3 linked regions of the Saccharomyces cerevisiae S288C genome follow. The protein of the gene in region 1 binds, or shares a complex with, the protein of each later gene. Each region holds a gene or a part of one and is shown on either strand. Other genes may lie near its edges. A codon is read from its position in the direction of its gene.

Region 1 (10,385 bases):
GGGTAAGGCCCTTGTGCACCACTACGAGGAGTGTGCTGAGAGAGTCAAGATACAGCAACAACAACCCGGCTACGCGGATCTTGAACACAAGGAGGACTGTGTGGAGGAGTTTTTCCATCTACAGCACTATTTGGACACTGCCACGGCACCTAGATTATTTGACAAATTAAAGTAGTCTGTTTATCCGTCATATTCCCTATATTCATATTTATTCTGAGTCTTGTTACAATTTCTTCAAGAAACCGATCCTTATTTAACCTACTGTATTTAGAAAGTAAATAAATAAACTAAAATCAAAGCAAAAATAATTTTATACACTATTCTTATTTTTATTTTTTAATTTTTAATTTTTTTTATAAGGGAGCACAAGTATACAGACGGAAAAGGGATTAGGCTTTTTTTATGCGCTCTGTCTAGTACTGTTTTCTTTTACATCCGTACATACTCTTAGACCCATACAGCGCATGTATTCTTGTTTTCGACTTTTTTTTGGTTTTTTTTTTTTAGTTCTGTAAGGACAAAGAAAAATGGTCGCTAGCCGCGCTCGGGAAAACCAGCGATATTCTCAATGTAGGAAGTCTACCATTTTCCCTTTAGGCTTTGCCATAATCTCTGGATACATACAATTTCAGAATATTTCAATACTGCATATTTCAAGATTCAACCCATTATTTTATAACATTTTTCATTCAATATTCAAGAACCCCGGAACAACAATACAGTTAGAAAGTACGTTATATTATCATGAAGTCCCCATTTCGCCCATTGGAAATGCAGGTAGCCAAATCTGAGGTGCGCTGAGTGGCATATAGTGGAGGATATAAAGAAAAAAAGAGAGAAGGGAAAATAATGGAAAGTTACCAGTGTTTGAACTTATAGCGAACGCTCTTTCTCGAACGTTCAATTACCTTTAGCATACCCTTGTTCGAAGTTGCCCCCGCTAGCACCACTTCAGATTGGCAGTTAGCTGCCACGCTACTCCCCTCCACCGTTATGAATCATTTTTACTAACCTTTAATGACCATTCGCAATTTCTGCGTACATTCATCGTCTTCTCCAGAAAATGGCTAAGTCTAAGAACCATACCGCTCACAACCAAACCAGAAAGGCTCACAGAAACGGTATCAAGAAGCCAAAGACCTACAAGTACCCTTCTTTGAAAGGTGTTGATCCAAAGTTTAGAAGAAACCACAAGCATGCCCTACACGGCACTGCTAAGGCTTTGGCTGCTGCCAAGAAATAAACTTTTTAAGATTATAATACGTTAAAAATTTACATATTATTTTGTCTGATTTTATATAACATGTTTTATTATCTTAATTGAAGGAAAATTTATCTCAATATCCAGTACCGTTTTCTTTTTTTATTTCTTTTTTTTTTTCTTTTAATTTTCTTTTTCCTCCTTATGTGCCACAAAATGGAAGCGTCACAAATTAATAACAAAAGATAAATGATGTATAAAACAATGGTGTTGACCTTCTACTGAGTAGCAACACATAGAGAAGTATAAGGCCTCACATAAGCATACAAACAAGCCCGCAATGACAGAACAAGTTAACAATGACACTACCAGTGACACTACCACTACCATTACCACAGTTTACATTTCGAACCTGCCATTCACGGCGAGTGAGCGAGACCTACATGCCTTCCTAAACAACTATGGCGCCAGTTCAGTGTTGATTCCAACGCAGACCGTCCGCAGATTCAGCAAAAGGCACAATAGCAACCCTCGCAAACCACTAGGCATAGCATTTGCCCAGTTCGCAAACAATACTCTGGCTTTGAAGGCCATTCAAGACTTGAACGGAACCGTTTTCCAAAATCAGAAACTATTTCTAAAGTTACACGTTCCTTACGAGGCAGACTCTACTCCAGACACGGATGTAAAGAAGCCCAAAGAAAAAAATAAGGTTAAGAAGACACCAGAGACTGCCGCGGATACGGTTTACTGTCACGACCTGCCAGACGATATAACCGACAGTGAGATCCGTGAGTTGTTCCAGCTCTACTCGCCTCAAGAAATCTGGATTTACAGGTCCAAGGTGTACAGGAGAAAGTGTATTCCTTTTGCTCCACACCAAATTACTGCCGCTTTGGTCACTTTGCAATCTGAAACCCCAATTGGGGACATTTGTGACAGTGTGGCCAAGACAGCTACTTTGAGGGGCAAATCGATAATAGTGAAGCCCGCTTACGTCTCTAAGATTCAAGAAATTAAACAATTGGTCAAGGACAACTTAACCAATGCGCGCGACCCACCTCCAGCAGCATTGGCAGAGCCAGCGCCAGCGCCAGCGCCAGTAGAGCCAGCGGAGCAAGTGCAGGAAGGGCAAGACAATGCGGAAACCAATGATGTCCCACCTCCGCCTGCTTCGTCTTCCGATCGTCCAACCGTGGCTGCTACTTAGATCTTTATAAAATTGAAAAGGGGGTATAAACAGTGAGAACTTAACATAAAATACATATATTCGTTTATTGCTAAGTAAACTAAAATTGATCTATTATTTTTCTTTTCTTTTCTTTTGCGGCTGGGGGAACCCCTTTTAAGACAAAATAAGACTTTTTTCACCCGTACATTTTTAACACCCAATTCCTTTCCGGCTCCAACTTTCTTTTTTTTTCGAAAATGATGAGCTTAGTCCTGCGTCCGCTTCCCAAAGAAAAAATGCGTAAGCCTCTTTCACTTCGGCAGCTCACTCTTCCCACTTTCCCTGTATTCGAAGGTACCGTAGGCAGAGGCCTATCCTCATTCTCCCACTGTGTAAACTAGGCGTTCTGCCTAGCGGCTAAGCGTTCTCCGCGTATTGTTTCACCGTTGGGCCTACGGTCGATGGTTTGGCATTGCTCTGCACGATCAGATCAATCTGGAATAGTATGGGAATTGCCAAACGCAGCACCAGTGCACATGGATGTGAACCTATGGATTACTACGCAATGCACTATCGCATAGGCATAATCGATTGAACCCTGCCCCTCCCCTCCTTCAATATCATTACCTCGTTTTTTTTATTATTGGGTCATTTTTTAGCGACTAATAACCATTTCTGAGCAAACTAAGAAACCATTAGATCAATAAGCAATGGGTATGTCAGCACCGTGATTTAACAACCATGTGATTGTCGTAATGGCGCAATGTCATCACACCCTTTTACAGTCTTTTTATTCCTTTTGTTGAAAATGTATCGTGTATACTAACAGAACTGTGTTTTTTCTCATTATTTTTTATTCAGGTAGAGTTATTCGTAACCAAAGAAAGGGTGCTGGTTCTATCTTTACCTCCCACACCAGATTGAGACAAGGTGCTGCCAAGTTGAGAACTTTGGATTATGCTGAACGTCACGGTTACATTCGTGGTATCGTTAAGCAAATTGTCCACGACTCCGGTAGAGGTGCCCCATTGGCCAAGGTTGTCTTCCGTGACCCATACAAGTACAGATTGCGTGAAGAAATCTTTATTGCTAACGAAGGTGTCCACACTGGTCAATTCATTTACGCCGGTAAGAAGGCTTCTTTGAACGTCGGTAACGTCTTGCCATTGGGTTCTGTCCCAGAAGGTACCATTGTCTCCAACGTTGAAGAAAAGCCAGGTGACAGAGGTGCCCTAGCCAGAGCTTCCGGTAACTACGTTATTATCATCGGTCACAACCCAGACGAAAACAAGACTAGAGTCAGATTACCATCCGGTGCCAAGAAGGTTATCTCTTCTGATGCCAGAGGTGTCATCGGTGTCATTGCCGGTGGTGGTAGAGTTGACAAACCATTGTTGAAGGCTGGTCGTGCTTTCCACAAGTACAGATTGAAGAGAAACTCTTGGCCAAAGACCCGTGGTGTTGCCATGAATCCAGTTGATCACCCTCACGGTGGTGGTAACCATCAACATATTGGTAAGGCTTCTACCATCTCTAGAGGTGCTGTTTCTGGTCAAAAGGCCGGTTTGATTGCCGCCAGAAGAACTGGTTTGTTACGTGGTTCTCAAAAGACCCAAGATTAGATTATGTAAAATAGTCATTCTTTAAGCAAGATCTAAAAAAAAAAAGATAACTCAAAAAATTCCTCAAAGCAAACAATACAATATAACATAACACTTATTTTTAAAGAAAAATTTCTAAATTAGATTTTGTTCTGTAGTAATAGAATATTTCTTCAAAGTAAACTTTAATATACTCTCATAAGCTCCCCCCTTCTCCCCTGTGAAGCATTGCTTCATGGAGGGGGTTGACTTCTTGAATAAAATGGCTTTCTGCCTTACGCGTTTATAGTGATTACCGTGTTGCGTGGCTCTGATGATGGGCATTTCTAATTTTAAGATCAACAACAGTAAACACACGGTGCAGTCAAGAAATCTCGAGGCAGACCACGTAAATACAAGTCAATTTTAGTATCGTTACCGCATGAAGGTAGAGGAATTGATTATTGATGGTTTCAAATCATACGCTACAAGAACAGTCATTACTGATTGGGACCCTCAATTCAATGCTATTACAGGTCTAAATGGGTCCGGTAAGTCGAACATTTTGGACGCCATTTGCTTCGTGCTCGGTATAGCATCAATGAGCACTGTGCGAGCATCTAGCCTGCAAGATTTGATCTATAAGCGTGGTCAAGCAGGTGTTACCAAGGCAAGCGTAACCATTGTTTTTGATAATACCGATAAATCAAATTCTCCCATTGGGTTCACTAACTCTCCTCAAATCTCTGTTACAAGGCAAGTCGTGCTTGGTGGAACTTCTAAATATCTGATAAATGGGCATAGGGCACCTCAACAGTCGGTTTTGCAACTATTTCAATCCGTGCAGTTAAATATCAATAATCCTAATTTTTTAATCATGCAAGGTAAAATTACCAAGGTTTTGAATATGAAACCCTCAGAGATCTTATCACTGATTGAAGAGGCAGCAGGGACAAAAATGTTCGAGGATCGTAGGGAAAAGGCAGAAAGAACAATGTCTAAGAAAGAAACTAAATTACAGGAGAACAGGACTCTGTTAACTGAAGAGATCGAACCTAAACTGGAAAAACTTCGAAACGAAAAGAGAATGTTCCTAGAATTTCAGTCTACTCAGACTGATTTGGAAAAAACTGAACGAATTGTTGTATCCTATGAATACTATAACATTAAACATAAACATACATCAATAAGAGAAACTCTGGAGAACGGTGAGACTCGTATGAAAATGTTAAATGAATTTGTTAAGAAAACTTCCGAAGAAATAGACAGTTTGAATGAGGATGTCGAGGAAATCAAACTTCAGAAAGAAAAAGAACTACACAAAGAAGGCACAATCTCCAAGTTGGAAAATAAGGAGAACGGTCTTTTAAATGAAATTTCTCGTTTGAAAACTTCACTGTCGATAAAAGTAGAAAATTTGAATGATACTACTGAAAAATCAAAGGCTCTGGAGTCAGAAATTGCAAGTTCCTCTGCAAAGCTAATCGAAAAAAAATCGGCATACGCTAACACTGAAAAGGATTATAAAATGGTGCAGGAACAACTCAGTAAACAAAGGGATCTTTATAAACGAAAAGAAGAATTAGTTTCCACTTTAACCACAGGTATTTCCTCGACCGGTGCCGCAGACGGTGGTTATAACGCACAGTTGGCCAAGGCAAAGACTGAGCTGAATGAAGTCTCCTTGGCGATAAAAAAATCAAGCATGAAAATGGAGTTGTTGAAGAAAGAGCTATTGACAATTGAACCTAAATTAAAGGAGGCCACGAAAGATAACGAGTTAAATGTGAAGCATGTTAAACAATGCCAAGAAACGTGCGATAAACTACGAGCCCGACTAGTCGAATATGGGTTTGATCCATCACGAATTAAAGACCTGAAGCAAAGAGAGGATAAATTGAAGAGCCATTATTATCAAACATGTAAGAACTCTGAATATTTAAAAAGACGCGTAACAAATCTGGAATTTAACTATACGAAACCTTATCCTAATTTTGAAGCCAGCTTTGTCCATGGGGTGGTGGGTCAACTTTTCCAGATAGATAATGATAATATTCGCTATGCTACTGCTTTGCAAACTTGTGCCGGAGGTAGGCTATTCAATGTTGTTGTTCAAGATTCTCAGACGGCCACTCAGCTATTAGAAAGAGGAAGATTACGCAAGCGTGTTACCATCATACCTCTTGATAAGATATATACGAGGCCAATAAGTTCTCAAGTGCTTGATTTAGCCAAGAAAATTGCTCCTGGGAAAGTTGAATTGGCAATAAATTTAATAAGGTTTGATGAATCTATCACTAAAGCGATGGAATTTATTTTTGGAAATAGTTTAATCTGTGAAGATCCGGAAACAGCAAAGAAAATTACCTTCCATCCAAAGATCCGCGCTAGAAGTATCACCCTTCAAGGTGATGTATACGACCCAGAGGGTACATTGTCTGGTGGTAGTAGAAATACCTCTGAATCGTTATTAGTTGATATTCAAAAATACAATCAAATTCAAAAACAAATTGAGACCATTCAGGCTGATCTCAACCATGTAACGGAAGAGCTACAGACGCAATATGCTACATCGCAAAAAACAAAGACCATTCAAAGTGATTTAAATCTCTCGTTGCATAAATTGGATTTGGCTAAGCGTAATCTCGACGCGAATCCATCTTCCCAAATAATTGCTAGGAATGAAGAAATTTTGAGGGACATTGGAGAGTGTGAGAATGAAATCAAAACCAAGCAAATGAGCTTAAAGAAATGTCAAGAAGAAGTTTCGACCATTGAAAAAGACATGAAGGAGTACGATAGCGATAAAGGATCCAAGTTAAATGAATTAAAGAAGGAATTGAAACTATTGGCGAAAGAGCTGGAGGAGCAGGAATCGGAGTCAGAACGTAAATATGACTTGTTTCAAAACTTGGAATTAGAAACAGAGCAATTGAGCTCAGAACTAGATTCTAATAAGACGCTATTGCATAACCATTTGAAATCTATTGAAAGTTTGAAATTGGAAAATTCTGATTTGGAGGGAAAGATACGAGGTGTTGAAGACGACCTTGTAACAGTCCAGACAGAACTGAACGAAGAAAAGAAAAGGTTGATGGACATTGATGATGAACTAAATGAATTAGAAACATTGATAAAGAAAAAACAGGACGAGAAAAAAAGCAGTGAATTAGAACTACAAAAATTGGTCCATGACTTGAACAAATATAAGTCTAATACGAACAACATGGAAAAGATAATTGAAGATCTGCGACAGAAACACGAATTTCTTGAGGATTTTGATCTGGTGAGAAATATCGTCAAACAAAATGAGGGTATCGATTTGGATACTTACAGAGAAAGGAGTAAACAATTGAACGAGAAGTTTCAAGAGCTCAGAAAAAAAGTTAATCCAAATATTATGAATATGATAGAAAATGTTGAGAAAAAGGAGGCAGCATTAAAAACAATGATTAAAACGATTGAAAAAGATAAGATGAAAATCCAAGAGACTATATCGAAGTTGAACGAATATAAAAGAGAAACTTTAGTCAAAACATGGGAGAAAGTGACACTTGATTTTGGTAATATTTTTGCAGACCTTTTACCAAATTCATTTGCAAAATTGGTTCCATGCGAAGGTAAGGACGTAACGCAGGGTTTAGAGGTTAAAGTAAAGCTTGGTAATATATGGAAGGAAAGTTTGATTGAATTGTCCGGTGGGCAAAGGTCGTTGATTGCTTTGTCATTGATTATGGCATTGTTGCAATTTCGACCAGCGCCTATGTATATTTTGGATGAAGTTGATGCTGCTCTTGATTTAAGTCATACGCAAAATATAGGTCATTTGATTAAAACAAGGTTTAAAGGATCTCAGTTCATTGTAGTCTCGCTTAAAGAAGGTATGTTTGCCAATGCTAATAGGGTCTTCAGGACGAGATTTCAAGATGGTACCTCCGTAGTTAGTATAATGTGATGGTTAGTTTTCATAAGACAAATAAATATTGTAATGTAATCATATTTCAATAATTTTCTATTTGGCAGCCAATAGAAAAGCTTGCGCATAGAAGAAAACTAAAAGTAAAAAAAAAATAGAAATGTTCAAGACAGGTTCAATAAATAGATATTTAGTTTTTATTACTATATTAATTTAGTAGACTTCTAAAATGTATCTTGATGCTTCCTTTAATTCTTCAATTGCGGCATCCAAGTCGACTTTGATGCCTCTTTCCTCGGCGTCTTTAGCCAGAATGTCTTGCAAAGCTTGAGTAATATCTGGAACTGGCCAAGTAGGGCCACACAAGTAAAATGAACCTTTATTATCAATCATTGCAGTTTTTAATTCATCCAAATTCTCTTTGATACGATCTTGAATGTAAATTTTTTGAGGTTGGTCTCTTGAGAAAGCAGCGCCGATGTGTGTGATAATACCTGCATCTTTGTAAGCCTCCCATAACTCACCATATAAATATTCTTCTCTTTTGTGTCTTGAACCTAGATATAGGAAGACTTCACCAATCTCATAACCTTGCTGCTTTTGCCATAATTTCTCTTCAACAATGGCCTTGAATGGTGCCAAACCAGTACCTAAACCACTCATAATAACTGGTTGCTTTGGAGATGGTGGTAATTTCATAACAGATGGTTTAACGCTAACGACCAATTCTGAACCGACAGCAAGGTCTGAGATATACTTAGAAGCTTGACCGTACCTTTTTCTTCCTTTATTATCCACCCAATCAACAACAACGATCAATAAATGAACTTCATTTGGATGAACTTTCTGAGAGGAGGCAATTGAGTATTCTCTTCTCTTCAATGGTTCAATGATAGTAACAAGTTCCTCAAGAGATGGGCGAACAGATGGGAACAATTCAAAAATGTCAGCATATGTATAATACTCCACATCTTGAAATCTCTTCAAATCTACTGCACCGGCAGGAGTAACCAAATCCTCTAATTTTTTCTTCTCCTCTTCGTTAGAGGCATATGGAATCAATGATTCGTAAAATCTTTTTGGTGGTTTACCGAAAATATCCAAATTTTCCACAAATGCTTGTAAGACGGTTCTTGTTTCTAACAAATGGTGGTTGTCCTTGTTGGGGACTAAGACAACATCGGATTCATTTAGACCATAGAAGGTTAAGAATTCTTTGACCAAAGATTCATTGTTTCTGGCATGAATACCGAGGGCTTCACCGATGTCATAAGTCATTCCAGTACCAGAAATATCGAATTCAATATGGAAAATATATCTATCATAATCAGCAGGCGTAACACGTCTATTTTCTTTAACTTTCACGACGAAGTTCTTGACGGGTAAATCGGGTCTTAGTTTATTCTCAACTTCATATGCCTCTTTGAAGGACAACTTCTTGGCAATATCAGAGATCTCAGAGGTCTCAGGTAATGGTATTTCTTCAATGGTACTGTTATTTGGGAGGAAAGATGTTTCATTAACGAAAATTGGTAAAGCTGCAGGCTCTTCCTCATCCTCTTTCTTTTCAATGTTTATTTCAGAAAATTTAGTGTACAGCGCTAGCGGAACCTCACTGAGGAAGTTTTTGAATGCACCAGTGAGAAATTCAGAAATCGAGGCTGCTGAAATGTCTGCACCTGAATCAATGCTTTTCCAGATACGGTTGGTACATTCTGCGACATCTAGACCGAAGGCCAATTTCCAGAAAACGGCTTGGATAAACAAGGACAATTTGGACTCGTCGTTAGTGGTCTCACCATCGATGATAAACAATTTGATGTTTTTCTTCGCAATAGATATTAGGAATGATTCAGGAATTCCCAAATTCTTGACGTAACTTTCTACAGAATTTAAATCCAAATCTTTAACTGCCTTTTGGGAAACCAACGCAATTGAACCTTGTTCTGCGACGGTAGCAGCTACGTCTAAATGCTTCAATAAACTGACATCTTCAACGACTGATAATTTCGTAGAATCGATGTTTGAAACAGGTATCTGTTCTTTCGAGGTCACAAATTGAGCTTGGAAGGTACCAGCATTAGCCAAGTTATCAAATTTCGTTCTCAAAGACACAAATTTCCCATCTTCCAAAGACAGAGCTTTCACAAGTTTGGAGGCAACATCAATATTGATACTCTTATCAGAGGCCCAATAAATGAATCCTTCGCCGAAAGATGAATCGGCATTGTAAGTGAATTCAGGGATGAATGACGATACAATTGATTTGACAGCTTTTGGGGACCAAATGAAATCTGGTTGATAGATGTACTCAGAAACGCTAATTGAGGTGCGGCCGTGGTAAAATAAGGCGGCTGAAACTTGAGATCTCAAGAAAGAAGGCGAAGAACCATCCAAAGTTTGGCCTATAACAACAATTTGTTTGGTAGTGGATGGAACGTGAGTGACAAACTTAGCAACGTTAAAAGGTAATGGCACTCTGACGTTGATTAACCCGATTTTGGAATTATTACCACT
Region 2 (5,299 bases), on another chromosome or scaffold:
TTATTATTCTTATGGTAAATAATGCCCCTACTTTTCTTCTAAGGAAATGAGTTACTACAAAAATAAGGAAATATCGCCTGCAAGCGGTTTTTATTTTGGAGTTGTTTTTTTTTTTCCCACAATAGCCTCTAGTTTATTCCATTCTTAGCACTGACTCTTTTTTCCGCCACTATTTCTTATAAAAGGCCCGAATTTCTGGCACGGACGTTGTTTTTAATAATAAAATATTGAATGACAGTTAAAAAATCACGTAGTCAGTTAATCTGTTTAACTTGAAAATATGTCTGAATCAGTGGCCATTATAGGTGCAGGATTAGTAGGCTGCCTTGCAGCTTTGGCATTCTCCAAAGAAGGCTACAATGTCACACTATATGATTTTAGACAAGATCCTCGATTGGACACCACCAAAAATAAAAATTTGAAATCCATTAATTTGGCTATTTCTGCTCGTGGCATTGATGCTCTGAAATCAATAGATCCGGATGCTTGTGAACATATTCTGCAAGATATGATTCCCATGAAAGGCAGGATGATTCATGACTTGAAAGGCAGACAGGAATCACAATTGTATGGCTTGCATGGAGAAGCTATTAATTCTATCAATAGATCTGTATTAAATAATAGCCTTTTGGACGAATTAGAAAAATCTACAACAGAACTGAAGTTCGGTCACAAATTAGTCAAAATCGAATGGACAGATGATAAACAAATCTGTCATTTTGCCATTGGGGAAGATTTGAAAACCCCACATACTGAAAAGTATGATTTTGTCATAGGTTGTGACGGAGCATACTCTGCGACGAGATCGCAAATGCAACGTAAAGTTGAGATGGATTTTTCACAAGAATATATGAATTTACGTTACATTGAACTTTACATCCCGCCTACTGAGGAATTCAAGCCAAACTATGGCGGAAATTTTGCAATAGCTCCTGACCATTTGCACATTTGGCCTCGTCATAAATTCATGTTAATTGCGCTCGCCAACAGTGACGGCTCGTTCACTTCAACCTTTTTCGGTTCTAAAGATCAAATATCAGATCTGATAACTTCCAAGTCACGTGTGAGGGAATTCTTAATCGAGAACTTTCCCGATATTATTAATATTATGGATTTGGACGATGCTGTCAAAAGGTTTATCACTTATCCAAAGGAAAGTCTTGTCTGTGTAAACTGTAAGCCATACGATGTACCAGGCGGAAAGGCCATCCTACTCGGCGACGCTGCCCATGCAATGGTTCCATTTTACGGCCAAGGTATGAATTGCGGATTTGAAGATGTGAGAATTCTTATGGCGCTATTGAAAAAGCATTCAGGAGATCGTTCAAGAGCCTTTACTGAGTACACTCAAACAAGACATAAGGACCTAGTTTCTATTACTGAGCTGGCAAAAAGGAACTATAAAGAAATGTCACATGACGTTACATCCAAGCGGTTTTTATTAAGGAAAAAGCTAGATGCTCTCTTTAGTATTATAATGAAGGATAAGTGGATACCTTTGTATACAATGATATCTTTCAGATCCGATATCTCGTATTCTAGAGCTTTAGAAAGGGCTGGAAAGCAAACACGTATCTTGAAATTCTTAGAATCTCTGACACTCGGTATGTTATCTATTGGCGGTTACAAGCTTTTCAAATTTTTGACAAGAGAACGTTCCTGAAGCCAGTTTATTCTTGCCATCCGTGTACGCTAGGAGAGGATTATTAAAATAAGTGATATATACATATATATATATATATATATATATATAATACACTAATTATTTTATGTGATGTTGATCACGCGAAACGGTAAACGGCTCTGTTCGCGCTTTCTTTGTTTACATTTTAGTGAAGTATTGTCAAGATAATATCCATATGGTTGAACTTTTTATATTGGCTAGTTAAATACTCTATTTATTGCACCAAAAAATCATCTTAGTGGACTTTTTGGAGCAAAAAAAACCAGCAGGTAGTTATATAAGATGACTACACAACTAAGGTATGAAAATAACGATGACGATGAAAGAGTAGAATATAATCTCTTTACCAATAGATCCACCATGATGGCAAATTTTGAAGAATGGATCAAAATGGCTACAGATAATAAAATCAATTCCCGAAATAGTTGGAATTTCGCATTGATCGACTATTTTTATGACTTGGACGTTTTGAAAGATGGCGAGAATAACATCAATTTTCAGAAAGCATCTGCAACCTTGGATGGGTGTATTAAGATTTACTCTTCGAGAGTTGATTCAGTGACAACGGAAACAGGTAAGTTATTGAGCGGGTTGGCACAAAGAAAGACGAATGGGGCATCTAACGGAGATGACAGTAACGGGGGAAATGGTGAAGGGCTTGGAGGTGACAGTGACGAAGCAAATATAGAGATTGATCCCTTAACTGGTATGCCTATATCTAATGATCCTGATGTGAATAACACTAGGCGGAGAGTGTACAACAGAGTTTTAGAAACAACATTGGTGGAGTTCGAAACGATCAAGATGAAAGAGCTAGACCAGGAATTAATAATTGATCCATTATTCAAAAAGGCCTTGGTTGATTTCGATGAAGGTGGCGCCAAGAGTTTATTGTTGAACACATTAAACATAGACAACACTGCAAGAGTCATTTTCGATGCATCAATTAAGGATACACAAAACGTAGGGCAAGGTAAACTTCAAAGGAAAGAAGAAGAATTAATTGAAAGAGATAGTTTAGTAGATGACGAAAATGAACCTAGCCAGTCATTGATAAGTACTCGTAATGACTCAACCGTAAATGATTCCGTTATTAGTGCACCTTCCATGGAAGATGAGATTTTATCTCTTGGTATGGATTTTATAAAATTTGATCAAATTGCGGTGTGTGAAATTTCAGGATCGATTGAGCAACTAAGGAACGTTGTCGAAGATATTAATCAAGCGAAAGACTTTATCGAAAATGTTAACAACAGATTTGATAACTTCTTAACTGAAGAAGAATTGCAAGCAGCTGTCCCAGATAATGCAGAAGATGATAGCGATGGCTTTGATATGGGCATGCAACAGGAGCTGTGCTATCCAGATGAAAATCATGACAATACATCACATGATGAACAAGATGATGATAATGTCAACAGTACCACAGGAAGTATATTCGAAAAAGATTTGATGGCATACTTTGACGAAAATCTAAATAGAAACTGGAGAGGGAGAGAACATTGGAAAGTACGAAATTTTAAGAAAGCAAACTTAGTGAATAAAGAATCCGACCTGTTGGAAGAAACGCGAACTACTATAGGAGATACTACTGACAAAAACACAACGGACGACAAATCGATGGATACGAAGAAGAAGCATAAACAAAAAAAGGTTCTGGAAATTGATTTCTTCAAAACGGATGATAGTTTTGAAGACAAAGTCTTTGCCTCAAAAGGAAGGACAAAGATTGACATGCCGATTAAGAACAGAAAGAACGACACACATTATTTACTGCCGGATGACTTCCATTTTTCCACTGATAGAATAACAAGATTGTTCATTAAACCGGGGCAGAAAATGAGTCTGTTCAGTCATAGGAAGCATACCAGAGGCGACGTTAGTTCGGGGCTTTTTGAAAAAAGCACAGTTTCTGCCAACCATTCAAATAACGACATTCCTACTATTGCAGATGAGCACTTTTGGGCGGATAATTACGAAAGGAAAGAACAAGAGGAAAAAGAAAAGGAGCAGTCTAAAGAGGTTGGTGATGTGGTGGGTGGAGCGCTCGATAATCCGTTTGAAGATGACATGGACGGTGTTGACTTCAACCAAGCTTTCGAAGGAACAGATGATAACGAGGAGGCCAGTGTGAAACTTGATTTACAGGATGACGAAGATCATAAGTTCCCCATTCGAGAAAATAAAGTTACTTATTCAAGAGTTTCGAAAAAAGTTGACGTAAGAAGATTAAAGAAAAACGTATGGAGATCGATCAACAATTTGATACAAGAACATGACAGTAGGAAAAATAGAGAACAAAGCTCTAATGACAGTGAAACCCACACAGAAGATGAATCAACAAAGGAGCTCAAGTTTTCTGATATCATTCAGGGTATAAGTAAAATGTATTCGGATGATACACTAAAGGACATTTCAACAAGCTTTTGTTTTATATGCCTTCTACACTTAGCCAATGAGCATGGGTTGCAGATAACTCATACCGAAAACTATAATGACTTGATAGTGAATTATGAGGATCTAGCGACAACACAGGCAGCGTCATAGTTGATGATCTTTTTTTTTTTTTTTTTTTTTTTTTTTGTGCTGCAAAGTTTCTTAAAGCCTTCGGGCTTACGAAATCCTTTATCGCCGAAAGGGGACCGCTTCGAAAAGTGGATATAAAACAAGGTATTTATTTTTATAGACAATGACCAAATGACAGGATAGATCGAGGGTGAGTTCCAATATGTCCAGAACTATTCCATTTCTATTTAAATTAGTCAACAGGGCAGTAATTTTGCCTACGGCAGGTTTTACATTAGGAGTTGGTGCGTTTGTAAAGGCGTGGCCCGATGATGCCGGTGTTCTATCATTGAATGATCCGCAAACGCCAGCGGAGTTGATTAGTGCGACCAAGAGCCGCCAACCTATGGAGCTGCAGAGGGTTGACATCCTCGCTCAAATCGAGAAAAGCGAGGTTTACAACAAGTTGGCCCAGGATGAGAAGATGCACCATGTCTTATTCAGTGAGAAAATACCAAGCGGGCATAGGGAATATCATGTAGGACAAGGCCTCTTGTTCGGCAAGGGGAAGCTTGAAATTGATCCTTTGGTGTTCCATGATGTGAATCACGGTGAATTAACCGTGATTTATCACTTAGGTGCTGAGTTAGGGAATCGAGACGGTAACGTCCATAAGGGCTTGTTGTCATTGTTGCTGGATGAAGCATTGTGCTATTGTGGCTTCCCTTTGTTGCCTAGTAAAAGAGGTGTAACTGCAAGGCTGTCGCTAGAGTTTTTTGAGGACATTCCTGTAGATACTACGATTATACTAAAAGCAAACGTCAAAGAGATTAAAGGCAGAAAGTGTATCATTGAGGGACACTTGGAACAGTTTCCGTTGGAAGTTTCTTCTCGAAATGGAACTAGAAGTTGGAACTTACCACATATTTGGGGTTTCAACCATAAGCAGGAGATGGCAAAAAAATTTGCCAAGGCCAATTGTATTCTCGTTGAGCCTACTTGGTTCAAATATTTTAAATGGCTTGATATGTTTTGAAAAAGCATGCCTGTCTCAAAATAGCCTATTCCGTGTTAATTAATATTCTATATTCAAAAAAGTTAAACATATAT
Region 3 (10,628 bases), on another chromosome or scaffold:
CCCAAACCCAACGCAGAGTATCTCAAAACATTAACTGTCGACATCCTTTAACTCACTCAGCTAGTTCCTATATACGTTATGTTCCGATATAATACTTCCTTTTATCTAAAATTTCTGTGTGAAAAGTCAAAAAAACTAAAGAAAAATTTATACCCTTAAATAGATCTGATTGGCTCCGCGGACCAATTAGCGTGGAGATTCCGCGAATGATCGAATAATAAAGATATGTCTTAATTAAACCCATGGTCACCCAGCTTCGATTGAACGGTATGTATTCTTGAGTGCAATTCTTCTAAGTTCTTATTAAGTGTGACGATCTCCTCCAATCTACGCTGCTTCTTATAGTCCTGAATTGTGGACTCAATAAGGTAGCTTTGTTCCTTTAGGACCATCAATTCTTCTCTCAGCTCTTTCACTTCTTTTATGGTCAAGTTTTCGATCATTAGTTGCGATAATTTCTTTACCTCTGGTTCAGCTTTTTGCCCATCTTCATTCGTTTTATGGCCCTCTGGGTTCAAAATTGCCGGAAGCGACTTCAACGGTAGGATTTTTTCGTTTATGTATGCAGCGGAAGCTATCTTGATCGAATTTTGAAGTTGTCTCTCTAGATGACTTTGAGGTTCTACACTTAAGAGCTGTCTTGTTAGTGTATTATACAAGTTAAAAGAATTGAGTAATTTATGTCTTAATCGAGCGAGATCATTCAGATTCTTTGGATCAAGTGTATTTTCAGAATCCTTGGCAGTCTCCACCTTCAGGCTATTCAATGAGTCTTCAAAAATGGGCAGGAGACTATCAATTACTTTGGATATATTTTGCATGCTATCATATTTAGCAAATATTCCACTTAGCGGCATTCTAACGTCCTTGTTAAATTTCCTGCCAATAAATAGCATATCGATACAGTGCGAGCACAATCTTATGGATATAGGAATATGAAGTAAATCATCCTTCTGTATATTGTATTCGAATGGCAGATCTGACGCTGCAGACATTAAATAACCTATGCTTATTTCGTTTGAGCAGTTCCTGTTTGCATCATCACAAACAACCATACCACATAATCTGCAGTGATGCTTCCTTAGTAATAGCCCAAATGGTTCGGAACATATGTTACAAAAGAGTACACTTCTATCATCTCTCCATGGAGTAACTGTACGTTCTAACTTGGACATTTCACTATTCATCTTCAAATTATGAATAATGGATCTAGAATATGTGTTATAGAGTGTAATCAGACCATCAACTAGACGGACAAACCGATTTTCTAATTGTAATAGCCTTAAGTTTTTGTCCTCTCTTTTTATATTTCGTACCTTAAAGAATTCTGGTGTTAAATCTATTACTTCGCCATAATCGTTATAGCCAGGTTTTGTGACGAAACAATCATGGCAGCAATTGTACCATTTCCCGTTTCTGGGGTCATACTGTGCGGAAAGATTAAGTTTAATCATATTAGGAAGATGCCTTCTGCAATACAGTTTACCACATTTCCTACAATTAATGGCGCCAATATTGTTATTCAAAGTCCTTCCACATGTGTGACAGCAGCTCTTCCCTTTTTTGAATTTTTCCCAATGGCTTCTTTTCAACTTTTGCGCACTGCTATCAACAGATCTGGCCTTTTTTTGTTTACCATTGACTAAACGACTGTCATTGGAACCGAGTGAATCTTCATTATCGTTAAACCCATGCTCAACATCTAAATGTGCATTTAGTGCTTGTAAGTTATCAAACTTCCTTAGACAAATGGGACATGAAACATTTTCAAGATCCATAATAGATAAGTCGCCAGGAAATTCGGTGATATCCCTTTAAAAACCATGAGATCCGGCTTTGCTCTTTAGGTCGGTCAATTTAGCTACTGATCATATGTTTTCATTATTCTATTGTTTTCCCAAAGTATTACCCTGCCTGGAAATAACAGTGATAGCCAGAGTGATTCCATCGCCAGTACTTTTGTAATTCAGGAATACATTTATACCAATAAATGGCTCACATTTAATGTCTGCATACGTGATTACTACATATATATGTCTGCGTATGTGCTTGGCTATTTTACATTAGCGAGTTTCTATAAAGTACTAACGCCATTAGAGTTTTTTGTAACTGAAAAATGCCCTTAGAGTATGATAGCCTTTTAATAGCATCTCTCTATTCTTCGGTATGTTGACTTAAATTAATCAAAACACTAACTTTGGTTGAATAAACGCCTTTTGTTTGGAGTGAAAAGTTAATGGATTTCTTTCAATTATTGCCAATTCATTACTAGAAATTAAGTCAACAAACAGTAAAGGTTTATATTTATCAGTAAAGAAGAAGTGACCGGAGCTTTCTTCGTTTCTTTGTACATCTGTGGACTTTATTTTGTTTCCTTGGTTTAATAATACATTCAAGTTTTCGCTGATTTCCATATCAATATCGTCATCTTCGTCATCTTCCTCGTCGTTCATGAAATTACTTTCATCTGTGATAGTTAGCCCTTCGTGTGTACGTTTTTTCTGTTTTCTTCTCTTATTTATAGGGAAGTCAACATCAAAGTCTATTCTTGATATCCAAGTAGCCCCCCAAAACCATAATCTGCTACTATTTTCTATGTCTGAAAATATCCCTACACAGTTCTCTTTTAATGTCTTCCATTCTTTTGGTAAGTTATCCGTATTGTTTTTTGACCATTGAGTTAATACGCTTTCGCTATCTTCATTCTCGGCTTCCGAATTCAAATTCATATTGAATTCATAAATCTTATTGTCTGCAGTAATTACTACTACAGATTTTCTAGAAGTATTGATATGAACAGCGGTGATGAAATTATTCAAACGAGCAAGTGGTTTAGAAATCCTTGCTTTTAAGTCTAATATGTCTACGACTCCACAGCCACGAGAAATTACTGCAATGTTCTGGTCTACTTCCAAATGGTTGATCCTGTTAATATAGGGAACTTTGATACTGCTCTTAGTTGAAGTAACCTCCAAAAGTTCAACTTCTTGCGGTTTTTCATCTTCTTCAGATTCTAGATCCACAATAAATACATCATCTTCGCAAGAGCATATGACAATTTTGGAATTATCGATGAACTTGACTAATTTTGTGGAAGTTCTCAATAATAGGTCATTATCTAGTTTAGTCACTTTCAATTTATTACCTACGGGCTGTAAATGAAAAACTTTAGTGGTAGAGGGCCTCCCTACGACTAAAACTTGTCCATCAGGTGATAAAGAACAAGTTGAGATATTCTGGTCATCTTTTAAAGTTAACTTGCAAACTAGCTTATAATTCTGTTCTGTACTAGAATCGGTTCCCATTGTCCATATCTTAACAGTAGATTCGCTCCATGAAACAACAAGGCGTTGCTCTTTGTTAACTAAAACATTCTTTGAATAAGGTTCGACAGTTGGCATCTTCCTGTAGTTTCCATTAGAAAAAGAAGTAAGTGAGTTGATGACTAGTGTTTTTTCAACACCTCCTGAAACTAGAAAATCTGCACCTTTAGATTGGTATGCACATATTGCTCTAATGTCGTTTCCATGAAGCAACCTATTAGAAGAATTTACCCATCTGTTGTTCTTTTGAGATTTGTTAGTGTTTTGAGAAAATTGAAAGATTTTTCTGTCCACACCAGCACTAAAAACATAATTATTATCAGTATCGGTAGTTAGACACAGTACGTCTGCATCGTGCGCCTTAAATGACTGGTTTAGCGTGGCAAACTGGAAATCCCAGAATTTAATGGAGCCTGTAGAATCACCAGAGGCAATCTGATCAGTTCTTGGTAAATATATAACTGACCAAACTAGAGTTGATTCTTTTTTGGCCTTGTCGACCTTCATAGTGTGTAATAGACGACCCATGTTTTCGTCATTTTTTTGTGCAGACCAAATCCTTATTCTACCATCAGAACAACCACCAATCACGAAGTCATCCTTTTTCCAAGCCAAAGTCAATACTCTGGCTTCTTGTCTCATCAAAATAGTATCGTGTTCCAAGACACCAGGCCCGCCAGAGATATCTATGAGGACCACCGTCCCATTATCGCAACCCACAGACAGCTTGTCTTGTGAATCGTTGATGGAAATAGACCATATCACACCTGAATTGCAATCATAGTTTCTTAATGGTAAACCTGTTGCTAAATCCCATTCTGTTACCACAGTCGAGCCGCCAATAGAAAATAGCCTTAGAGACTCGCCGTTAACGTTGCTCCAGCAAAGGCCTTCAATTGATCTGTCTTTGCCACCTTCGATAACCATTTCCTGAAACCAATTGTTTCTAGGATTCCAGATTTCTATGTTACCATTAGATCTACCAATAGCTAATCTCAAATCGGACGGAGTTAACTTATTTATATTTGATTTATGTGAAAATGCTAGAGATGTGATTGTGGCAGGAGTGAAATCCACAAATCTGCATCTATGCACTATCATCCTTTCCTGACTGGTCATCTTCACCGGTTTGTTTCGTATTTTCAGGCTTCTTGACTTTTCTTTTAAAACTGAAAGTAGCGATGAGCTCATTCGTAGCTTTTTTCTTGTCAGTCTGAAAATTTTTCATTTGGTTTTTTGAAAAAAATCCTGCCTAATATGGTATCAAGAGGAATAACAAGAAAAAAAAATCATGGGGGATACAAAGGAAAACAAGGAGATAATGCAGGTTATACTGAATTGCTCATAGTATTAGCCTAAAGCACTTTACCTCTGATTTATTGCATCTATCGTATTCTTGAGTTATTGCGACTTTTAAAATCCGTGCACCGCATATGAAAGGGTAGAGCCTTCGTGTTTGTTTACCTTTTTAGCTCTTTGAAGATCAAACAAAAACACTTCAGTAATGCCTACAGCCTTGGATAAGACAAAGAAGTTAACAGGCCGCGCCCATCATGCAAGATCCTGATGGTATTGACATTAATACGAAAATCTTTAACTCAGTTGCTGAAGTATTTCAAAAGGCACAGGGTTCTTATGCAGGACACAGGAAGCATATAGCAGTTTTGAAGAAAATTCAGTCAAAGGCTGTTGAGCAAGGCTATGAAGATGCTTTTAACTTTTGGTTCGATAAATTAGTTACTAAGATCCTTCCTCTGAAAAAGAATGAGATTATCGGAGACAGGATAGTAAAGTTAGTAGCTGCATTTATAGCTTCTTTAGAAAGGGAGTTGATATTGGCCAAAAAACAAAACTATAAGCTCACGAATGATGAAGAAGGGATATTCTCAAGGTTCGTCGATCAGTTCATAAGACATGTTTTGCGTGGTGTGGAAAGCCCTGACAAGAACGTCAGATTTAGAGTTTTACAGTTATTAGCCGTTATAATGGATAATATAGGGGAAATCGATGAATCACTTTTCAATTTATTAATATTGTCTTTAAATAAGAGGATTTATGATAGAGAACCAACGGTTAGGATACAGGCTGTGTTTTGTTTAACTAAATTTCAGGATGAAGAGCAAACTGAACATTTAACTGAGCTTTCTGATAATGAAGAAAATTTTGAAGCTACGAGAACTCTAGTTGCTTCTATCCAGAACGATCCGTCAGCTGAAGTACGGAGGGCTGCAATGCTGAATTTGATCAATGATAATAATACTAGACCGTATATCTTGGAGAGGGCTAGAGATGTAAACATCGTTAATAGAAGGCTCGTGTATTCGAGAATTTTGAAATCAATGGGAAGAAAGTGTTTCGATGATATTGAGCCGCATATTTTTGATCAATTGATTGAGTGGGGTTTAGAAGATAGGGAATTATCAGTGAGAAATGCGTGTAAGAGACTCATTGCTCATGATTGGTTAAATGCTCTGGATGGCGATTTGATAGAATTACTAGAAAAATTGGATGTCTCAAGATCCTCAGTGTGTGTTAAGGCTATAGAAGCACTTTTTCAATCAAGGCCAGATATATTATCTAAAATCAAATTTCCTGAAAGTATTTGGAAAGACTTTACCGTAGAAATTGCCTTCCTCTTTCGGGCTATTTATTTGTACTGTTTGGATAATAATATAACAGAAATGCTGGAAGAAAACTTTCCAGAAGCCTCAAAATTATCCGAGCATTTAAACCATTATATTCTTCTCAGATATCATCACAACGACATTTCTAATGACTCTCAGTCGCATTTTGATTATAACACTTTAGAGTTTATTATTGAGCAACTATCGATTGCCGCCGAAAGGTATGATTATAGCGATGAGGTTGGAAGGAGATCGATGCTTACAGTGGTACGAAATATGCTGGCCTTAACTACACTCTCCGAACCTCTTATTAAAATTGGTATTCGTGTAATGAAAAGTCTGTCCATAAATGAAAAAGATTTTGTAACAATGGCAATAGAAATCATTAATGATATTAGAGACGACGATATTGAAAAACAAGAACAAGAAGAGAAAATAAAAAGCAAGAAGATTAATCGCAGAAATGAGACTTCCGTCGATGAAGAGGACGAAAACGGCACACATAATGACGAAGTTAACGAGGATGAAGAAGACGACAATATTTCATCCTTCCATTCTGCTGTAGAAAACTTAGTGCAGGGAAACGGCAACGTATCTGAGAGTGACATAATAAATAATCTCCCACCCGAAAAGGAAGCGTCCTCAGCAACAATTGTTCTCTGTCTTACAAGGTCATCATATATGCTAGAACTAGTTAACACACCGTTAACAGAAAACATTTTAATTGCGTCGTTGATGGACACTTTGATCACACCAGCGGTTAGAAATACCGCGCCAAATATTAGGGAGCTTGGTGTCAAGAACCTTGGTTTATGTTGTCTCTTGGATGTGAAGTTGGCTATTGATAACATGTACATCTTAGGTATGTGCGTTTCGAAAGGTAATGCATCATTAAAGTATATTGCGTTACAAGTCATTGTAGATATTTTTTCCGTACATGGGAACACTGTGGTAGACGGAGAAGGCAAAGTTGACTCAATCTCGTTGCACAAAATATTTTACAAGGTTTTAAAGAATAACGGTTTACCGGAATGTCAGGTGATAGCAGCGGAGGGTTTATGCAAACTATTTTTGGCAGACGTGTTCACTGATGATGATTTGTTTGAAACGTTGGTTTTGTCATATTTTTCGCCGATAAATTCCTCAAACGAAGCGCTGGTACAGGCATTTGCCTTCTGCATTCCAGTCTATTGTTTTTCACATCCTGCTCATCAACAACGTATGTCTAGGACGGCTGCGGACATACTCTTAAGACTATGTGTTCTTTGGGACGATTTACAGAGCTCTGTAATACCTGAGGTAGACCGTGAAGCTATGCTAAAGCCTAACATAATATTTCAACAGTTGCTATTTTGGACTGATCCACGTAACTTAGTTAACCAGACAGGTTCAACAAAAAAAGATACAGTGCAGCTTACATTCTTGATCGATGTGCTCAAAATATACGCTCAAATTGAGAAGAAAGAAATAAAGAAGATGATCATCACTAATATAAACGCTATATTTCTTTCTTCTGAACAAGATTATTCTACTTTGAAAGAACTTCTTGAGTATTCTGACGATATTGCAGAAAATGATAATTTAGACAATGTTAGCAAAAATGCTCTGGACAAGCTAAGGAATAATTTGAATTCGCTGATTGAAGAGATCAATGAAAGGTCAGAAACTCAGACAAAAGATGAGAACAACACTGCGAATGACCAATACTCGTCTATTTTGGGGAATTCATTCAATAAATCTTCAAATGACACCATAGAACACGCTGCTGATATAACTGATGGAAATAACACAGAATTGACTAAAACAACTGTTAATATTTCGGCAGTTGACAATACAACAGAGCAAAGTAACTCAAGGAAAAGAACGAGATCAGAAGCGGAGCAAATTGACACATCCAAAAACCTGGAAAACATGAGTATTCAAGACACGTCAACTGTAGCAAAAAATGTAAGTTTTGTTTTACCTGACGAGAAATCAGATGCAATGTCCATAGATGAAGAAGATAAGGATTCAGAGTCTTTCAGCGAGGTCTGTTAAAATTGATATGCGAGCTCTTCATCTATTTAAGTTGATTTTTTGGTTGTAAACATATTTGTATTTTATTCTTAGGTTTGTTAATTCTTCTACGCTTACCAGATATAGATGCTATATGTTATTGCATTACGCACATTACCCGGTGGGACAAATTATGGAAATATTCCAAGGCTATAAATTCTTTGGTGAAAGGAACTGAAATTATGTCCAGTAATGCACCAGAAATGGACATATAAAACTATTAATGCATTTTATTACAATTATCCTAAGAAAATATCCTATATATAATTAAAGTAAAAGAAATAAGATCAAAAGAACAAAATAAAGTCGAGTAGAATTTTCCTACTTGACTATATTAGAACGAAAAATGTTATTTTATCAAAGTAATTGGTTAGTAGCCGACGTGTTATCCGTTTGGGCCAATAATTCTTTCATTTCTTGCAGCTGCAATTCGGTGATTTTTATAGATTCAACTAGCTGCTGTATTTTATGATCACTAACTCCATTTACGAGCTTAACCTTCTTGTTATTACTCTCCTTAATATGATTGGACAAGACACTATTTTGAACGGTTCCATTTCCACGATCTATCAACCAGTCCCATATGAGACCCTCCGTATCGGTGACTATGTTATTTTTATTCGAGTCTTTACGGCGGGCATCTTTTATAATATTATCTTCGTAAACATGATAGAGTGTTTTAAAATTAGGAACGTAATTATATTCATTTCCATTAATTAAGATTGTTCCTGGAGTAATAATCTGGATGTTCGAAGTATTCTTAGAATGGAATAATAATCTAAAGAAGAAAATCAAGCAAATAAAAAAAGAGATAATTGTCATAATTCCTTGAACGGATGTTATGTTTACTTGTTGTAACATTGAGAAAGCGGAAAAAAATGAATTTTTGGTACTTGTATCTTCGAAGTTTTCTTCATTCTTCTCATTCTTGATAGTGGATGGTGATGATTTCCTTTTATTTACCGTCTTTCCTCTTCTCCTCGATTTTTTCTTCGTTGAACTAGCATTAGAAATTATTTTTTTGAGATCATCTACGAGTTGCTTTGTTGAACTTCTTTGTCCATCAATTGAACCTTTCTCAATGGTTCCTTTCAGCATTGATTTACCTGTCCAGACAACATTGGTGACAACTTTCATGTTCGTTGTGTTGTGATCACCCCAGGAATAGAAAAATCTCGTATGTACTGAAAATGAACTACCGTAAGGAACATCCGGAGATCTGACTATTTGTTTTACCATAAAAAAACTGTTCAAATCCATATGCTCGATGGTCTCTGTGACTATACATTTAGTTTGCTTCGGACCGAATGAATTGTTCAATTTTTTGGTATAGGTGATCTCTCTTGCGTTATTCACAAACTTTGGAATATCACAAACATTAAAGTTATTCTGGTTTTCGATGATTTTCTTAATATATGATGTGTCATCACCATACAATAGTGAAAACACTGTTCCTAAAGGAACTGGTATATTAATTTTTTCATCGATAACTGTATCGTCTTTTCCTTTTTGAAAATCAGGTTCCGTCGGATCATGAACTGGAGGTCCAATAGTTGGCAGATTAATAATTTCTTCTTCTGATTCATTATTGCTGGCTTGATGCTTTGAGTTTATGTTTGAGTCTTCATCACTTAAGATTTTCTTAATTTCAGATATCATTATCTTTGTGGTGTCCGCAACACCATCAAATGTTCCCTTTTCAATCATACTTTTGATCCAACTTTTACCAGTCCAATCAACAGAATTGTAAACTGTTAATTTGGTGGAGTTGTTTTTATCCCAAGAGAAAAGGAAAACAGTTTTCACTGAAAAGATATTCCCTGAAGGAACATCCGGGTTCTTGGTAATACTGAGCACTTTAACATAGTCTTCCAAATCATAATGCTCTAAAGTATCTGTGATCAAACATTTTGTTTTACTTGGACCAATGCTGCCTGATAACGGTTTCGTATATGCATAGTCACGAATTTTCTTTGTGAGGAAATTGTTAGGGATTGGCGATATTTCAAAATTTTTCTGAGCTTTAAGGATCCTTTCATAGTAAGAGACGTCTTCACCGTATAAAAGATTTACTACTTTTCCTAATGGTGCATTAATATTTGCTTCAATAACCAAATGATCATTATTGGAAGGTTTGAAATCAGCAGTGGTTGGAGAGTGTTTATTGGGACCCAATAAGTAGTTCGTAGATTTTTGGTTTTTACCAAGATCATTTGATTCATTGAAAACATCAGCATCAATATCGTCACTAGATGTCATATCTGTGCTATTAATATCAGGGTCATCGTCATCCAGGTCTCCATCGTCGTCATTGTCATCGGAATCATCAAAAAATGCACTGCTCGAATCGCTTATCGTACCGTCGTCATTATTACCGAAGCCATTCCTATATTTTTTACCTAAGATGATCTGATTCCATACATCTGTAATTAAATCAAAGGTAGCATCCCTTGACATAAAAGAGGCGAAGATGTACTTTGTATGCAACGTATCAATTACAATACCATTGGGGAAAATTCCGGCGGTAGTCTTTTTCTCAATCTGAACGATTTCCTTAAACGGAATGAAAACTGTACTGACCCATCCCAAAATGTTTGAGAAAAATCCAATGTGTGCATCAGATATA

Evidence for each region.
Region 2: the proteins of SMC2 (region 1) and BRN1 are in contact, whole or in part, in a cryo-EM structure (PDB 6YVV), measured with the Saccharomyces cerevisiae proteins. Residues at the interface, in NP_116687.1 of Saccharomyces cerevisiae: Ala169 (codon at 4,899), Gly170 (codon at 4,902), Thr171 (codon at 4,905), Lys172 (codon at 4,908), Glu175 (codon at 4,917), Arg178 (codon at 4,926), Glu179 (codon at 4,929), Glu182 (codon at 4,938), Met185 (codon at 4,947), Ser186 (codon at 4,950), Glu189 (codon at 4,959), Arg196 (codon at 4,980), Leu199 (codon at 4,989), Ile203 (codon at 5,001), Lys206 (codon at 5,010), Leu207 (codon at 5,013), Asn992 (codon at 7,368), Lys995 (codon at 7,377), Met1003 (codon at 7,401), Lys1005 (codon at 7,407), Thr1006 (codon at 7,410), Lys1009 (codon at 7,419), Asp1010 (codon at 7,422), Met1012 (codon at 7,428), Lys1013 (codon at 7,431), Glu1016 (codon at 7,440), Lys1020 (codon at 7,452), Tyr1024 (codon at 7,464), Lys1025 (codon at 7,467), Glu1027 (codon at 7,473); in NP_009455.3 of Saccharomyces cerevisiae: Trp49 (codon at 2,111), Ile54 (codon at 2,126), Phe57 (codon at 2,135), Tyr58 (codon at 2,138), Leu60 (codon at 2,144), Leu63 (codon at 2,153), Glu67 (codon at 2,165), Asn68 (codon at 2,168), Asn69 (codon at 2,171), Ile70 (codon at 2,174), Phe72 (codon at 2,180), Gln73 (codon at 2,183), Ala75 (codon at 2,189), Ser76 (codon at 2,192), Leu79 (codon at 2,201), Asp80 (codon at 2,204), Cys82 (codon at 2,210), Ile83 (codon at 2,213), Tyr86 (codon at 2,222), Ser87 (codon at 2,225), Arg89 (codon at 2,231), Val90 (codon at 2,234), Val93 (codon at 2,243), Thr94 (codon at 2,246), Thr97 (codon at 2,255), Leu100 (codon at 2,264), Leu101 (codon at 2,267), Leu104 (codon at 2,276).
Region 3: SMC2 (region 1) and YCG1 share a complex: the UniProt entries of both Saccharomyces cerevisiae proteins name them as parts of the condensin complex.

Annotation. Positions count from the first base shown.
Region 1 is NC_001138.5:214,116-224,500, reverse strand, and holds SMC2 (condensin subunit SMC2), read left to right. Parts: upstream 1-4,394; coding exon 4,395-7,907; downstream 7,908-10,385. Other genes in the region: QCR6 (ubiquinol--cytochrome-c reductase subunit 6), read left to right, coding at 1-175; MIN10 (Min10p), read left to right, coding at 528-791; 60S ribosomal protein eL29 RPL29, read left to right, coding at 1,064-1,243; RRT5 (Rrt5p), read left to right, coding at 1,542-2,411; 60S ribosomal protein uL2 RPL2A, read left to right, coding at 3,083-3,086, 3,234-3,994; MET10 (sulfite reductase subunit alpha), read right to left, coding at 8,082-10,385. UniProt on the Saccharomyces cerevisiae protein: Central component of the condensin complex, a complex required for conversion of interphase chromatin into mitotic-like condense chromosomes.
Region 2 is NC_001134.8:38,865-44,163, forward strand, and holds BRN1 (condensin subunit BRN1), read left to right. Parts: upstream 1-1,966; coding exon 1,967-4,231; downstream 4,232-5,299. Other genes in the region: BNA4 (kynurenine 3-monooxygenase), read left to right, coding at 281-1,663; MRX3 (Mrx3p), read left to right, coding at 4,413-5,225. UniProt on the Saccharomyces cerevisiae protein: Regulatory subunit of the condensin complex, a complex required for conversion of interphase chromatin into mitotic-like condense chromosomes.
Region 3 is NC_001136.10:1,112,250-1,122,877, forward strand, and holds YCG1 (condensin subunit YCG1), read left to right. Parts: upstream 1-4,876; coding exon 4,877-7,984; downstream 7,985-10,628. Other genes in the region: TIM11 (F1F0 ATP synthase subunit e), read right to left, coding at 1-44; PEP7 (phosphatidylinositol-3-phosphate binding protein), read right to left, coding at 231-1,778; small subunit rRNA maturation protein UTP4, read right to left, coding at 2,184-4,514; YSP2 (Ysp2p), read right to left, coding at 8,360-10,628. UniProt on the Saccharomyces cerevisiae protein: Regulatory subunit of the condensin complex, a complex required for conversion of interphase chromatin into mitotic-like condense chromosomes.